3 linked regions of the Caenorhabditis elegans genome follow. The gene in region 1 interacts genetically with each later gene. Each region holds a gene or a part of one and is shown in the gene's direction. Other genes may lie near its edges.

Region 1 (5,030 bases):
ACAAACCCATAAGTTGTCTATGAGTCCATGAACTAAAATAGAGCAGGCTGAATATTGAAACAAAAACTGAAGATCAAGATTGGAAAGAGCAAGACCGGTTTTTTTGCCATATTCGCCGGAGGACAATGGACACACCGGTGGCGGGAAAACGTTGAAAATAGATATCCGAGAAGCGACCGAGATACGTTCAAGTGGATTGTTGAAAGGTCATATTGAAAGAAAAAAATAAGAAAGACTGGAAGCAACATGCTGAGATTTTCCTTTGAGAAATGATTTGGGGGTATGAAAATCGTATGTAAGACATTTAAGAAAACTATAGAGTATATAGTTAATTAATTAATAGAATTATGGTTTTCAAAGTTTCATACCTCCGGGAACTATCGGATCATTTAAAAATACTACTCAGTTTTAGCAAAAATGCCTTAAATTAACAGACCAACAGGCAAGCTAATGACTGGAATAATTTAGAGCATCATGATAAACACTTTATTTAAGAAATACACTTAAAATAAAAAAAAACCGCGTGGCGTGTACTGCAGAAAACCTAATATTCTTTTTCTCGTCCACCCACGGAGAAAAGACAAAATTCGGGACACCAACCAATATCAGACCGCCGACATCGTACGGGTTCCGCGCGCCGCAGCGTTTAACTCGCTGTGGTCATGGCGAGCTGTCACGTTGCGAGTTAAACATAGCGGCGGGCGGAACCCGTGATATGTCGGCGGCCTGATATTGGTTGGGGCCCGAATTTTGTCTTTTCTCCGTGGGTGGACGAGAAAAAGAATATTAGGTTTTCTGCAGTACACGCCACGCAGTTTTTTATTTTGAGTGTAATTTTTTTCAAGGAAAAAAATATTTTATTTTTTGAATTTAATTTTTTTTCTTAACTTTTCTGCATTGTTAATTCGTGGTTATCGTGAATTGCAGACTATTTTCGGTACTTTAAAACAAGTTTTTCATTTACGCTACTCCACCTTCAACTTCATCATCATTCCATAATAGCTGTGTTATGCGCTGATTAATTCCTTGTGTCTATTCTGAAGTCACGTTTCAATACAACGTGTGAGCAAGTAGCGCACACACGTTGTCAAGTCATAAATCAGCCGAAGACAGGCATACACTTCCCCCAGTTGGGAAACATCAGGTTTTTGGTTTTTAAATTGTGTACTTTTGTTGTGAAGTTTCGCATTTGTTCTGTATAAAAACAGGAACCATTGATTTGAAAAATTAATTCGAGTTTCAAAAAATTATTTAATTTTCGGTCTTTGTGTATGCTGAGAAATTAACTTTCGAATTCATTTTTTTAACGGCAAATTTTTTTGCAGAATTTTGCAGGCAAACATCATTTTTATTTTTTTATTTTTCATTCAAAATTGTAAGAATGCTCAGAAAGCATTCTTACAATCTCTAATATATATATCAGTTCTATTAGTATAGAATACACTATTACACATCTTGCAAAATAAAAACATCAATCTGTTTAAAGTTTTCAAATATGTAGTTTTTTTTTGGGAAATAACCTTTTTAAATGGCCCTTCAACAAATGCTTCACTAAAAATGAAATCAATTTTCTTGTGGTAGCCTATGTATTTCAAAGATTATCTTACAAACATTATAAGTTTCTTCCAAAAGTCTGAATATCTTTAAAAATTAGTCGTTGTTAAAAATCTCAAGTTTTCAAAAACTTACCCAATTTCCGCCAAAAAAACCCATTTAATCTTGTTAGTAGTTTTAAGTGTTCTCAACTCTTGAAAATTCCATTATCATTTTTCATCGTCTACTCCCAACGTCCCATTATTCTCGTTGCCTCCCTCCTACCCTACATACCGCTAAAACTTATCACATATCTATCACATAAGAGTTTACAACGCAAAGAGTGCTTTTTTCACGTCCCCCAACGAGAAAATATAATCACGAGCATTTTTTCGAGCAACTCCACAAATCCATTGGTTATTGTTGGCTGCTGATGACTAATCAATCTTCCTCTCAATTTCAGCAATGTCTCGTAGATCCTTAAAAAGACGTATCAGGCGACAAAATAAGAAGGGGACGGTGTTCAAGAAGGCTCGAATCGACCAAGAAACTGTGAGTGAATCACTTTTTTAGTCAAACATACGTGAAAGGTTGCGGCACAAGTGTACGTTCTGACAGAGCACCAGGTGTTGCGCACATGTAGAAAAGAAAAAAGGGCAATCGAAACATATAGTTTTGTTTAATTTTGAAGAATGATTGTCTTTCCTGGTGTAACAGCTAAATGTCAAAAAAAGTTTACATCAGTACTTTTGAAACTATTATCAGTGGAAAAAAATGTTGAAACTACTGAAATGTTGGCAAAAATAGCCAATTATCATAGAAAAACAATGTTTTATTTGAGAATGATTTATTGACAGTCAAAAAATGGCTATTACAGAAAAGTTTGAGATTTTTTGAGAAAACTTTCACATGTTTGAATCCGCATATTCGAATCCCTACCGTATTTAAATATTGATTTGCAACAATTTCCGCAAAAAAAAAACAAAATTCGTAGGAATTTTTTTTCTAAAAATTCTTCTTCGACTTCTAAAAATTGATAGAAGATAAGTTTCCAACATTTTTAGACTCGAAATAAAAAATTTTATTTAAAAATAGTTTTGCTACATATTTAGTAACTTTTGGATTACAGGAATGGTTTTTAATCATTTTCAACTTGCCGTACTTCATCTATTATTTTGATTTTAGTATTTAATTTTTTGATACTAAAGTTACTAAGAAGTAACTGCACGAATTGGTACTATGAATATGCACTTGCCTTTGTATCGCTTTCTATTATTAGGTTTAAAGGCAAAATTTTGTCAGTAAGGAAAATTAATTAAACTGCTATAATGCTAAAATAAAAAAAAAAACCTTTGAAAACCTTTGAAAACATATTCTCGAGCCTGATTTTTGGTCCGAAAATTTTGAAAGTTTGACTGTTAACAATCACTACTTTTTAAATGTGTGATTGACTTATTTCAACAAATTTTCTGATCTTGCTATTGAGCAACACTATGAATGACAATTTTATGCATGACTTTTATGCGTTTTATTAGAAAAGTACTTCACTATTTTTCAGAGCAATTTTCAGACAATTTTCAATTATTAAAAACAGTATCAGCACTTTCAAAATATCCCATACATCTTTACATATTTAAAACGCTATTTTTTTATCTCTTTCTCTCTGCATTTACCTGAAATTTTTCACAGGAGAAAAATGAAAGAAAATGTTTTGCTTTGACGTCGAGCACGACATTTTTTTGTCTGTCCACAAACGTAACATTCCAACAATACAAACTGTACTTTTTTTTCCAATATACATCTGTCGGTACCCCTCAACTTTCTTTCTTTGATATATAGTGCATCGTTAGTCATTCTAATTTTGTGTACGAAAAGCTAGTTTTTTATTCATTTGTTAAATTAAGTTTGTAACGGGTGCGTCTTTTCTTTGGCTAAAATAGTTGACAATGTGTTTTTATAATAACTGTTTAAAAACGGAAACCTATTAATTTGCCAGTTAAAAAAATTTTGCTACCATATGTGCTCTATTAGTATTGCACCCCATTGTTTAACATTGACAGCTTATATCTCAGCTATCGTTTGTTCTATTCAAAATTTGTTAACTAACAGAATAATTGTTTGTTCTTTTTCTTTCGTAGTTAATAAATTATTGATATCTTTAAAATGAACCGAGATATAAAGTAATGATTCAAAAGAGTAGAGTCAATCCATGGTCCAAAATTTGTATTTCTTCTAAATTAGCATTTATACAAGAATCAATGGACTGTTAAGCTAGTGTTTTTCAACTGATCATGAAAGTGCCACGAAAAACTGTTCACTGCGTCTCCGCAAGTTAGACTTTTAGCCAACGCCCGGTAAATTGACTCGAAAACCTTAAGAAACTGTTTTAGCAAAACTTTTAACAAAAAGTTTTTGTACTGTTTTCTATAAATTCATAAATAATTGGATTTGGTCCGTAGAGCGAATTTGCGCTGACATAGTGCATAACTTTCTGTGATGCGCAGCTGAAGTTAATTTTGGTCCGTACTAATGCATTAAGAGAATCTACGACAAAACTTGAAAACGAACATGAAAACTTTTGGAATCATTTTGAAAAAGGTTTTTGAACTTGCTCTTTCCTTTTTGCGACATTGTGTTGCTGGACGATTTCTGAAAGCTACTCGATCATTTAAAATTTTTTAGCCAAATCCAGTTTAGTTTACCATCAAAGAATTGCAATTTGAGTCATAATGATCCTTTCATAATCCTACCACAAAATTTTCTGCAACAGCTTAGCAAAACAATGAGTGCATAATTAGAAAGTGGAAGTGGTGTTGGAAACTCTCTAGAGACGTCTCTCAAAACCTTTTTTCACGACTCACTCCTTTTGTGAACGAGAAAAAAAATGACGGGGCAACCGAATGAGAAGATATTCCGTTCCTCGTTTCGTTTCGCCATTTCAATGTTTCTAGTCAAATGTGTTGTATTCTTGTTCTACCTATCTTCCTGTCTGCTGTCACATACACAAATCACCTTCCTCTTTCCCCTCAAATGAATATACAAATCAGTAATACTATATATGCGTACTGTATATGAATCAATTCCCCCCCCCCCCCCCCCCTATTATGCATTCCATTGTCCTCGTTTGATTTCATTTGAGTGGCACGATCAAAAACCGTTTTCCATTTTTCACATCGGTGAAATGGTATGGAAACAGGTACTGATTTTGATTTTTGTTCCAGTTTTAGATTCTTAGATAGGATAGGTTTTATTTTGAAGATTACTGTAGTGTCGATTCTTATCTTTATTAACTGCCGATTCCAGATCAAATGATCTTGATGGGGGGGGGGGGGGGGGTAAATGAAAAACTGAATGTCTTTGTTTCAGCGAAATATAATTTTGTGAAAAACATGAAATAGAATTCATTAGGCGCTAAACTAAAAGTTTTGGTTTTACTTTTTTACCAGTTAAAAATCATGACCTTAATAGAAAACGAGTTAATTTCAAAATAGCGAAAA
Region 2 (4,963 bases), on another chromosome or scaffold:
ATATTCTTTCTAATGAGGAAATGATTGAACATGCTAATGAGGCACTTGATGAGCTTGCCAGGCGCTTACAACACGAGACAAGCCATCTTAGTAACTTGAAAGCTGCTCGCCAAGACATGACAACGGCTATTTCGACTCGAACTGGGCCAACAAAACAGAAACTCGAGGAAGTTTTGGATTATATTGGCTGTAGTCAAAAAATTAACTATCAGGGATTAACCGGAAATCAAGTAAATTTGTGATTTTCGGTATTTGAAAATATTCTAATCTTTAGGTTCGCCAACTACTAAGGACAGAAAACATTGACAAAGTACTAAAAGTCTTCACGGACTGTAGTTGGATCCAGAATATGAGAAACTTCATGAATGATTTGGCGTCACTCATGTCAGCAAGCAATAACGCAGTCTTCACAGATGATGATTTGAATGATTTCGCTAAAACTTTGAAGAACTTGAAGAGAAACATCAGAATTCTTCATCCTTCGATGGGAGTCACTCCTAAACTTCACATCCTCTGTACTCACCTCGAGCCTTACATTAGAGCAAAAAGAACTTGGGGTCGTACTTCAGAACAAGGGATGGAAGCGTTTCATGTGCTCTTCAGGACAACAGAGACGCGATTTTCTTCTGTGATGTCTCTCAAGCTACGCGCTGAGTTGATGATCGACTATTTCGCTAACATCAACTATATTTCCGATAAAAGAAACTAGTGACAGCAAACATTTCTAGGAAACCGTTTTTATAGTACATCTCTCTCTCTCTCTCTCACTCACATGTTTTTTTTTCGATTAAATCAATTAAACGAGCAGAAAAGCCATGAATGATCTCTAAATTCCGACTTACAAAGTGTTTTGAGTTGATGATAAGCGTGAATCCTAATTTTCAATTGCCTAAACTAACAAACGGGTTGTGAATGGGTTCAGATTGGGGTACAGCATGAAAATATTTCAAAAGAAGTGAATACAATTTTAGAAAAACCGAATACAAGCAATGTAAACATGAAAATGAAACAAAAAAACGAAAAAAAAATCAACCTTGTTCGAAGAAAATGATGAGAATTAGAATGAGCAAGGAAATGCGAGAGACTTGGAAATGTGAGAGACGCAGCATTTCACGCGAAACGCGCCAGCAATCGTCGCGCTTGCGCATTTCGAGACGAGGATACTGTGTAAAATTGTAATCATTTGTTGCAATTTTTGTTCTTGAGTTAACTTTATTTTTCATTTTCCTCGACCTAATTTCTCAAAATTGTTAAAATGTATACTATTTATTACCCTGCAGTGCTCAAATCTTGTGATGAGCACTATCAAAGTTTTAGATGGAGTTTTTTAAAAAGTATTTTTTTTAGTATAATTGTTTTTTTCAGTAAATTTAGTTTTTTGGAGCAGAACGCTGAAATCTGCCAAGGTTCGCTACAACCAGATATATCTAGATATAACTGCAAATGTGCGCGCTCCATTGAGACTACACGCGACGCACAACCGCGACGCGTATTGGACAGCGTTCTCCGTCTTCTTTGAACAGCATCTGTCCTCAACCATTCTCTTCTCGTTTCTCTTTTAATTTTAAGATATATTTGCTCTTCAAAGGATAAATTTCAGTCAACGCATCGACACGTAGCGAGTGCCTCGACTTGAATATCGACAAAAATGGGTTAGTTTCTTTTTTAATAGTCGTTTTCTTATTGGAATATCGAAATCCGAGTGTCCACTGAAAGTATTTTATTTATCCTCCTAACACCATTCATGTTTTATAAATTAGGTTAATGCGTGAATTTGTGGGAGCTCCCGAATACAAATCACGGGCGTTGCCATTTCTGTTTCCCGGTTATTTGAAAACATTATCGATTTCAGCGGCTTACGACCAAAGTCAACCCGACTACAGCACACCCGAAGGGCAGCAGGCGTATTGGGCCTATTATCAACAGCAACAACAACAACAACCAGGAGGTCAACCTGATGTAAGTATATGAGATTTTGTGGGCTGATCGCCTCACTATCATGGCTTTGCTCAGAATTGTTCAGGAGCATAGTTCTGCTGTTGAATACCACCAGGCTCACAGACGTTTCATAGTTTAAATTTCAGCAGGATCCGTACGCCGCTGCTGCTTATGGAGGCCACGACCAAGCACAACAACCGCAAAATCCATATGCACCACCACCACCAGGAGCGGATCCATACGGCCAAGGATCCGGAGGCCAATCCGGAGGATCTGACCCCTACGGGCAAAGTAGAGGTGGCGGCCGTGGAGGATTCGGAGGCAGTCGTGGAGGAGGTGGATATGATGGTGGACGTGGCGGAAGTCGTGGAGGATACGACGGAGGACGCGGAGGTTACGGCGGTGATCGCGGAGGACGTGGTGGTGGTAGAGGTTTGTTCTTGTTTGATTAATGTATTCATAATAAACCATGTTTTTCAGGTGGCTACGACGGAGAACGCCGAGGTGGGAGCCGATGGGATGACGGAAACTCTGATCGGTAGGTAAACATCTGAATGTTTCGTTAGCAATATGCGGTATTTCCAAATTCGTTTGCTTAACCATCCAAAAATTGTTGTGTTGTGTTGAAAATCGAAACTGCTACAGAGTTCAGAGTATTCAGTGTTCATATACAAAATCTATTCACTATTAAAAACTTGCGAAGAGTAATGTATTGTGTCCGTCATTGTAAGTTTCATGAAAAAAGGTCAGTGTCCGCAATGAAGCACAAATTCATTGTGCTTTATCGATTTGTAGGGCTATGGCCCGGTTTCCTTCAAAATATTATGCAGTTCAGCTATTATTACGTGTGTTCGGTATCAAAACGAGTCAAGAGTGAAGAACAAATGAAGTCTACCAAACGACTTCGAGCGTGCAGGAGATGCTTCTGTCTGAAATCTCTCATGCTTGAAAAATCTTAAAATCTAAATGATCGTGTTTGTGCGTACAAAAAAAAATCAATTGAAGGTGTATTATTGCGCGGTCGAAATCTGAAAACATTTTACTGTGGTGTTAGCATGAGAGAAGAAGACAGAAGACTCCATTCAAGAATGATGTTTTGCAGACAGGGCGGACCTCCAGGAGGAAGAGGAGGTTATCAAGGTATTGAATACGTAAATTGCTTTATCTTTCGTACCACAACGAGTTTATTACCAAAATTAAAAAAAAATGGGTATCCTACCGAGTTTATCATCGAAATTCAAAAACAAAAAACATTAAACGAATATAAAAATACTTGTTCCTGTGCTTTATATTATTGACAGTTGGACGAAAAAATTGTTTGTAAAAGTTTTCATATTTTCATTGCAGACAGAGGACCCCGACGTGACGGACCACCAAGTGGAGGAGGATACGGAGGCGGTGGTGCTGCTTCAGGAAACCGCGAATTCGGATCCGATGGGCGAGTTGAGTTGAAGGAGACCGTCTTTGTGCAGGGAATTTCCACCACGTATGTTTTGTAATCGCCCAATTAAAAAATGTATCTATATTTCAGTGCAAATGAAGCCTACATCGCCGACGTCTTCAGTACCTGCGGAGATATTGCAAAGAACGATCGCGGACCGAGAATCAAGATTTACACCGATCGCAACACCGGAGAACCAAAAGGAGAATGCATGATAACATTCGTCGATGCTTCTGCAGCTCAACAAGCTATAACTATGTACAATGGGCAACCATTCCCTGGCGGCTCAAGCCCGATGAGTATTTCACTAGCCAAGTTCCGCGCTGATGCAGGAGGTGAACGAGGTGGTCGTGGTGGACGAGGCGGTTTCGGAGGTGGTCGTGGTGGTCCTATGGGAGGACGTGGTGGCTTTGGCGGTGATCGTGGAGGATATGGCGGCGGCGGTGGTCGTGGAGGATTCGATGGTGGTCGCGGTGGTGGCGGTGGATTCCGTGGCGGAGACCGAGGAGGATTCCGAGGTGGTGATAGAGGAGGCTTCCGCGGAGGAGATCGTGGAGGATTCCGAGGCGGCGACCGTGGTGGCGATCGTGGAGGATTCAGAGGAGGCCGTGGAGTAGGTGGCGGAAATGCTAATATGGAACAAAGGAAGAATGACTGGCCATGTGAGCAGTGCGGAAATAGCAACTTCGCTTTCAGAAGAGTTAGTTAATTTTGTTTTTTCAAAAAAAAAACACGGGTTTTCTTCTAGGAATGCAATCAATGCCAAGCCCCGAGACCAGATGGAGGATCCGGAGGTGGTGGTGGCGAGCGACGAGGAGGACCACCAGGAGGTGACCGATACCGTCCATATTGAGCCATCAACTCGTCTCCCCATAAATTTTAACATCTAATTTAAATTCTCTGATCTCTTCAATGTGAGAGACTTGTAACAATTTTATATCCACCTTTATATTCTACTTCGATACATTCAAATTTCAATGTTCTTTTTATATTTCATTTTTTCCCACTTTTTATTTTTAACGAAAATAAAAATTTTTGCACATTAACATCTGTTTTTTTTGCAATTGTCCGCATTTCCCTACCCATCAGCTGCTTTGCGTGTCACTGTCTGTTTTCTCTCCGCACTTCATCTCTACGTCACACTATCTGCTTCTCCATCTCTTTCGTCTCGACCTCCCTTTGCCTCGGCGCCCACCTCTCATTCTTCCAATTTACCCGGGAGAGACTGTCCGTTCGAAACTTCGACCGACTAATGAGCAGTATTACAGGACTACAAGGTAAGATTCGAAGAAATCGCTATGAGAATAGATTTTTAGTAAGATTATTCTCGCATATTCAGAATAAAAATATAAAACTATCAATGAAAGTTATTTTAGATTCAGAATTAAAGTATAGTTCTTAAACTTTATGATTGATAGGCTCTACGAACATTTAATTTGAAGATAAAAACGTAGAAAGTTACATCGTAATTTAAATAGACTCTGACATGCCTTCACAAAGGCACACGGATTTATTCAGATGGGTCTTCGCGCGCAAAAAAGTTAATGGTAGTTTTTTTTAAATTAATTTTCATTATAATTTTAA
Region 3 (7,604 bases), on another chromosome or scaffold:
GTACTTAGTAGTCATTTATCTCAAACCAAAAGTCCAAATGGAAGGGCCATACCTAATTATTGGGAACGGATCGAAGGCATGAAATACTGTATCCTGTAAAAGGGCCTGAGCAATTATGAATCTCGCCGACGCGGGGGTACGTACTCTCATCCGGCCGCCCTCTCCTCTGCACCACTTTTCACACAACAATATGGGGGCCACCCCCCTCTACCTAACTAACACATAATTGAGTCCCCCTCTCTACCTATTCAGGTTTTGTTGTTCATTCAACTGTGCGTGTCGTGTGTATTTGTATGGGGTGGGACGAGAGGCGGTGAAGAAGAGGACTAATGGAAAACCACAATTGAAGAGTGCGTTTCATCGTCGATCACCGTTTCTATGGTAGTTATTTTGAGATGACAATGATGTCGATTTTTTTTATTGTTTCCTAGCATTCCATAGTGACCAATTGCCAAAGTTTTGTGCTTAGACAGGTTTTGGGATATTCTCAAGATCAGCGGAATCCTTTTTTTTTGTTGCAAAATTGCAGAAGCATTTGGATATTTTCTTGACTAGATGGTGCAAACTTGCGATGGAGTGTTTCCAGTTCAAGAAAACTGGAATCGGAGCAAGTAACAGGGTTACTGTAGAATGGTTGATGGTATTCTATAGGTTTATTTAACTCGTTCTTTCGTAGCCCCTACGTTTCTTTAAAAATTCAAACTTCCCAGAGCCACAAAATTTCCACCGGGCTTCACGTATTCCCTCTTACCGAACACCTATTCAAATACGTGTCATCTTCAATCCTTTTCCCCTATATCCTTCACTAACCAGGTCAGTCATGTTTGATCAACCATTGTTTCCACACCTGCCCTCACAAAAATCCTCAATCATGATGCGCTCTTATTCTTTTTTCTATGATGTTGGAAATTATGAAATTCAGCTTTCACACTGTATTCTTGTAATGTCTGGACCCTCACTATACACTTATTCAAGCCGTAATTGGCGTGTATACGTATCCATATAATGTGTCAAGTTCACCTGTTTCCTTCATTTCCGTCTGAGCACATGATCCAAAATCTTATACAACTGAATTCCTTTATATAGATTGTGGAAAGTTTCCTGCAATTTCTAGTAGTTCTTGTTTCCTAGTCTTTCGGCTTCTTATCTGCCTTTTTAAAACTTTACCTACCTCATAATCCGTACAGTTCCCATTTTACCTGTTACACACATACACAGGTATTTAGAAACTAAGCATCATACCAGCAATAATAAAAACAATAAATGTTCTTTTCATTGGCAATGAGATATATTCATGCGTCTATGTAAACCAATAACAAAGCTAATTAGAATTGAAAACAACAGGGAATTGAGTGGCAGAGTATAGGTATGTCATGCTGTGCGCTGCCATAATTCTGCAGCTTCAGTTGAGTGGAGTAGGATTGTGAAAAATCATGGTGTACAACTAGTTCTGTAAAGTTTCACTGATATTAAACGTTTTCCATTTACTTTTATTTCACTTCTATTTTTCTTGCTCTCTGATATGTTTTTTTAAATTAATTATCAAACCTATGAAATTACAGATCCATCTCCCCTAGTCTCGGCCGGCCCAAAACGAACGGAGCATATACGGGGAGCCGCGGCACACAAACATACACAAAATATAAATAGGCCACGCCCATTTGTGCATATTTCTACATATATCCTCGCGACGGGCCCCCCGCCCCCCTGAGCCCCTTTTCCTCTTCCTTCTCTTTGCTCTCACAACAACCGGAGCTCTTTCTTTTTGAAAAGAGCCCTCTTTTGTTTCCTGACAGACCAAGTGGAAGAAGTGGTGGTGTGTCAACTTCAGAAGACAACGAACGACGCATTTTTGGATAGGAAATTCGAATTTTTGAATTCCAAAATTCGGTCTTCAAAATGACGATGGAAGCGTTGCTAACACCGAATAACAACAATGTTCCGACGAGTCCCGTTCAGGTAATTTTTTTTTTCAATTTTTATTAGGAAAGATCTATATGAAAGTCCAGAAGCAGTAGAAAAAAAAAACAAAAATAAATACGGTTTTCAAAATCTTTGAACATTGAGGTCTACAAAAAGTCCAGAAATCTACTCGACTGTAACATTTCATATTTTGGTTGCCTAAGATTTTATCAACAAAAATTCAACTAATAAAATATAGAACCATAGCAAAGATACACATTTTAAAAGTAGAACAGTAAACTGCGGTAATTTTGAAGAGCTGTAAGTTTGTTACAGGTTCTAACTGTGAATGGTTTTTTTATTAGTTAAATTAAAAGTTTAAAAAAAGCTTTTAGAACCTGATCATGACAGTTGTTTAAAATTCGGACTAGGTAAACTGGATGCTTAGGCTCCGTTCAGATCTAAAAGCTAAACAAATTGTTGAGCCTTGAATTCTAGTAATAACCATAAATCTGAATATTGTTTCTTCCCCAATGTCCAATCCGTCAGTGAGCCCGAGTCCAAACTTGGTATACATGCGTGTGCATTTGACGTGTCATTCTTTCAAGAAAGCTTCCCAATTCCCAAATGCCAATTTTTCAAAATCCGAGAAGCCTTCTTCCTTACTCTTCTTCTCTTTTCTCCGCCTTTCCGAACCACTCCTTTTCGAAAATACGTCCCATTCATTACGCCTTGAGGGAGGAATGAGGGAGGAATAAGGACCAAAAATAAAAATATTTGTTTTGTGAAAGAGCTCAGAAGCTCAGATTCCTGCGTGCTCATCCACCTATATTATGATGATGTGTTGTGGTGTTGGTGGATGGGAGTGGAAATGACATGAAAATTAAAATATGGAGAGAAAAATTGAAAAATAACAAGAGAATACTAGATTTTTAGATTTCCTGTTGAAAATTGTTTTCTTTTTTTCTAAAAAGTTTTTTGATTATTGAAAAAATATAGCTGAATTAACAATATCATAATTGTGCAATATATGACTAATGAAATTGGTAGAAACGAAGTTTTTTTTTTAATTTAAATTTCTAGAGGTACTATATATATGGAATATTCTAAAACTCAGCGATTTTCTTCAGTTTTTTTGAAGTGTTTCTTCAAAAAATTGATAGAAGACCTATAAATTAAAATTTAAAAACTTTTAAAATTTTGTGAAAATTCAATTCGAAATCTACTAGAATTTATATCACAGTTTTGCTAAATTACGTTCCTCCTCAATACCGGACGGTTCAAAATTTTATTTCTATAAAACGCATATGGAACTCTTTAATCAAAGATCCTATAAAAAACTCTTAAAGTCTATTCATTCCAACAGCGTAGAAAAAAACGTTTGCATATATTTCATTTCATACATTATTCCCTCTCAAATACCCATGGGTATTGTTGCTCTTCCAGTGAGCACACCAGGAGGTGGGAAGAACATGCGGGGGGCTCCATCTCTTCCATATAGACTTGCTCACGCACAGGAAATTTGAGACGTGGCCAAATAATGGACAGCGAAATGGATGAATTCTCCGGTTACTTGTACCGAAGAGCCCTCCCGCGCGCGAGAAAAGAATTGAAATTGAAAATTGAGATCTCCCGGTGGAATGAAAGATTGGAAATCATAGGGGAAATATTTTTGGGTCAGATGTAACCTCCAAAAATGGAATATATAGTCAGATTGGACAAAGATGGCAGAAAAACATAATAATTTATTTATTCCCAAATGAAAAAAATGAACAATTTCCGGGGTTACCGACGCTTCTCACCAATGCTAGGCACCCGAAAATATACGAGGTGTATTATTTATGTAAATTGACAAAAACGGGACTTCTATCTAGGGAGTTCAGAATTTTTTACATCTGAAAATCGTAGATTTTCATTCGAAAAACCGGGACCATTATACAAAAATCGCTTTTAAATTTTAAATTTATATTTTTTGCAGACAACCTACACAAGTACACAACGATACTGCTCCGCGCCAAATGTGGATATTGGAGAATCAAAAACAAATTTAATTATCAATTATCTGCCACAAGGAATGACACAAGAAGAAGTTCGGTCCCTTTTCACATCGATCGGAGAAATTGAATCTTGTAAATTGGTCAGAGATAAAGTAACAGGTGAGGAGGAACTTCTATATTATTCATTATTTTATTTTAAACTTATATATTTTCGAAATCCAAACATTATCTAGCTAGATCACCCCTTGCCTTATCATTTTTATTTCTGACTGATTTTTGATTCCCAACCACGAATTGAGTTGCTCTAACCGTTTTTTGTGTCTCGCCGAAAAAGTTTAGCATGAAACTAGATTTTGACGCCTCTTTTCTGATAGATCACAAATAATTTTATTTTCTTCTTTCGGATCGATTTTTGTAAATCTGTACATGTGTGCGTGTGTGATTGCTGCTGCCCCGCCCGCCCTACTCCCCCTAAAGTTTTTCATTTTTCGGTTATTACTTTTTTCCGTGATGTTCTGATATTCGTTTCAACTTTTCATTATTTTTTTCAAAATCACTCACACACACACACAATTGTACACCAAGAATTCACATTCACTTTTTGTGCTAAACATTTTTGAATAGGGATTGTTAAAATTCTAAAGTTGTGATATCTAAATACTTTTTTGGAATAGTTTCATACCATTAAATCATGTGAACTAATTTAGAATAAGCAGCAAACTGTTTGTAGCAAAAAGATGTAGGGAGATTATTTTTCAGAAAGAGAGCTCTACAAATACAATCAGAAAATCTAAACCCGTAACCTATAAATAATTGTTCTTTTGTTATATTTTCACACTCTTTCTCTCTCTTCTCTCTTCGGCATTTGGTGTTTTTTCATTTCAGGACAGTCCCTTGGTTACGGTTTTGTTAATTACGTCCGAGAAGAGGATGCTCTTCGTGCAGTCAGCTCATTCAATGGCCTACGATTGCAGAATAAGACGATCAAGGTGTCAACTTTTTTTTTTTTTTTTCGGAAAAATATTATTATTTTTAGTTGATTTACATGCTACTTGTCTTTTACTTTACTTTCACTCTTTTTTATTTTCAAAAAAAGTTTTTAATTTTTCAATTGTTTGGGTGTTCCTTTGACTATTAGAAAACACCCCCTTGCTCCTGTTGTGCAATTTTTGTTTTAAGTTTTCAATCTTTTTATTTTAATATTTTAATTTCAAAATTTAATTTCAACTTTAATTTCGCGAAACCCCTTTCCCGATTTATAATGATTTTAGCTTCTAAATGTGTGTCTAAACGTCCGTTAAACGTCTCACGTCTTTCAAACAATCACTAATAGGAGCAATAGATGTGCACAAAACGCTTAGAAAATGTTTAATTATATTTTTACTTGAAAATTCGCATTCTTCATATATGTAAAAGAAAAACATTCACTGGTAAAAATACAAAGTTAAATTTTAGAATATTAAAATTGTAATCTATAACTTGAAATTTTCAGGTATCATATGCCCGTCCATCAAATGATCAAATCAAAGGTTCAAACTTATATGTTTCTGGAATTCCAAAATCGATGACTCTGCACGAATTGGAATCGATTTTTCGGCCATTTGGACAGATTATCACATCTCGAATATTGTCAGATAATGTAACTGGTGTGTTTTTAAAATTATGTGAAATGTGTAAATTTTCAAAATTAAGAAAAATATAGTTGATTGTTTACGGAATATAATTTGTTTCATTTTTTATTAGAGCTATTTCAGGACTCTCAAAAGGCGTTGGATTTGTACGTTTCGACAAAAAAGACGAAGCTGATGTTGCAATTAAAACACTAAATGGAAGTATTCCATCAGGATGTTCAGAGCAAATCACAGTGAAATTCGCAAATAATCCAGCAAGTAACAATCCGAAAGGACTGCTGAGTGATCTGGAAGCCGTACAGCAAGCCGCCACAACACTGGTACCATTGAGCACAATTCTTGGAGCACCGACGCTGAGAGCAACTGCTGGAGGAATCGGACCGATGCACCATGCTCCAATTACTTCAAAGTACAGGTAAGCCCGAAGAAATCTTGATTGATAATAATTGTATTTTCAAGTTTGTATATTCTTCTTTTTACATTTTCAAGACCAATTTCCAATATTTCAGATATTCCCCAATGGGCGCCATCACTGCAGTATCCCAGCCAACCGCTACACTTCCTGCTGACTATTTGACAACTTCTGCGCTTCTTCAGATGTCTCAGTTGAATGCTCTTGCTGGCCTGAACCCTTTTGCCACAGCAACAGCCGTACCTGATTTCACAGCTTCATTAATAGCGCATCAGCAACAACAACACGCAGTTGCTCAACAACATGCTGCACAAACAGCGAGCCCTCCGGCAACAAATGGACAAGTTGCTGGATTAGCAGCTCATGCTCAGTTATCTGCATTGTCAGCTTCAGTTGCTGCCACGTTACCGCCATCAGATACTGCTGGATATTGCCTTTTCGTATATAATCTTTCATCAGATACTGATGATACACTGTTATGGCAGTTATTCTCACAGTTTGGAGCAATTGTTAATGTTAAGGTAAGCAAGAAATTTTAAATGGAAAATTTTTTACTTGAAATATTTGAGATTCTACGAGACCTGACACAACAGTGCAAAGGATATGCATTTGTATCGATGAGCAACTACACAGAAGCCTATAATGCAATGCTTTCTCTGAATGGCACAAATTTGGCTGGAAAGACGCTTCAAGTAGTTTTCAAGTCATCAACTCCATATCGAGCTTAAACTTTTTTGCAAAAATATTCTAATTTCAATCATTCCAGTCACTTGTCTCCCATTCTCTTTTCATTTTCTTCTTCTTCCCCAACCAAAGAAATTGTGATTTTCCCCCTCTGAAATTCCAGTCACTTTTTGTGTGCTACTAGTCACCCCCCCCCCCCCCCCATTGTGTTCCATCCCCTTTCATGAGCAACTGTGAGCAAAACCAATCGAATTCCGGTAACGAAATAAGCCACGCCCCTTGAGAATAATGAGCTTCTGCCCACCCCTGTCCCAAAACCTTGAATCAGCTTTAACATCTTCAAAACTTTTATCAATTTTACCTAAAATATGCCAAATCCTCCGTCACTTTTCAGTATTTCGTACAGTTTTCTGATTTTTATACTGGGTTCCTTGTTTTTCTTTTACAAAGATTTTTTGAAATATTAAAACTAAAATGTGTATAATAAAAATTGTATACCAATTTCAGTGATAAATAATTTATTTTATAGAAAAAAGAAGAACAAAGCTGATGATTAAAACTGAACTCGATTTTCTGATTGGAAGAACTTGTACCAATCGATGATATGAGATGTTAAAAACTGGAATTGATATTTAACCGATTGAACCTGAATGAAAAACAACGGACCTGAAAATTAAATTATTATTTTAAATTGACATTTTGAAAATTTCCCCCGTAATTTTATTGCAATTTTAATTGAAAGTTTATTAATTGTGAAATGTGCTTTTTAAGATGTTGCAAACACCTAATTACTATTTTCACTTTTGAGATATGTTAATTTCTAAATAACTTTTTTTTAATTTCCTAATTTTAATTTTCAAAAGTCAAAATAACAAACGAATTTTATAAAAGAAAAAAGAGCAAACTTACCTGTTAACTTACATTCCCTTCCTATTCATCAAATAAATTTTTCCGTTGGAATAACTTTTGAATCTTTCT

Evidence for each region. A genetic interaction does not mean that the proteins touch.
Region 2: changes in mbl-1 (region 1) and fust-1 impair growth when combined (synthetic growth defect), as found in Caenorhabditis elegans (one study listed by BioGRID).
Region 3: changes in mbl-1 (region 1) and exc-7 impair growth when combined (synthetic growth defect), as found in Caenorhabditis elegans (one study listed by BioGRID).

What each region holds. Positions count from the first base shown.
Region 1 is NC_003284.9:16,976,610-16,981,639, forward strand, and holds the start of mbl-1 (Muscleblind-like protein), read left to right. Parts: upstream 1-1,998; coding exon 1,999-2,085; intron 2,086-5,030. UniProt on the Caenorhabditis elegans protein: Binds to RNA with repeat sequences 5'-CUG-3' and 5'-CCUG-3'.
Region 2 is NC_003280.10:7,151,052-7,156,014, forward strand, and holds fust-1 (RNA-binding protein FUS), read left to right. Parts: upstream 1-1,600; 5' UTR 1,601-1,648; coding exon 1,649-1,652; intron 1,653-1,852; coding exon 1,853-1,959; intron 1,960-2,084; coding exon 2,085-2,370; intron 2,371-2,418; coding exon 2,419-2,476; intron 2,477-3,040; coding exon 3,041-3,078; intron 3,079-3,285; coding exon 3,286-3,424; intron 3,425-3,469; coding exon 3,470-4,079; intron 4,080-4,127; coding exon 4,128-4,232; 3' UTR 4,233-4,421; downstream 4,422-4,963. Other genes in the region: T07F8.1 (Zinc finger PHD-type domain-containing protein), read left to right, coding at 1-230, 275-709; C27H5.2 (TAR DNA-binding protein 43 N-terminal domain-containing protein), read left to right, coding at 4,632-4,656.
Region 3 is NC_003280.10:9,574,409-9,582,012, forward strand, and holds exc-7 (RRM domain-containing protein), read left to right. Parts: upstream 1-1,562; 5' UTR 1,563-1,899; coding exon 1,900-1,959; intron 1,960-3,880; coding exon 3,881-4,058; intron 4,059-4,784; coding exon 4,785-4,888; intron 4,889-5,391; coding exon 5,392-5,545; intron 5,546-5,653; coding exon 5,654-5,945; intron 5,946-6,039; coding exon 6,040-6,463; intron 6,464-6,511; coding exon 6,512-6,670; 3' UTR 6,671-7,127; downstream 7,128-7,604. Other genes in the region: Membrane-associated tyrosine- and threonine-specific cdc2-inhibitory kinase wee-1.1, read right to left, coding at 7,557-7,604.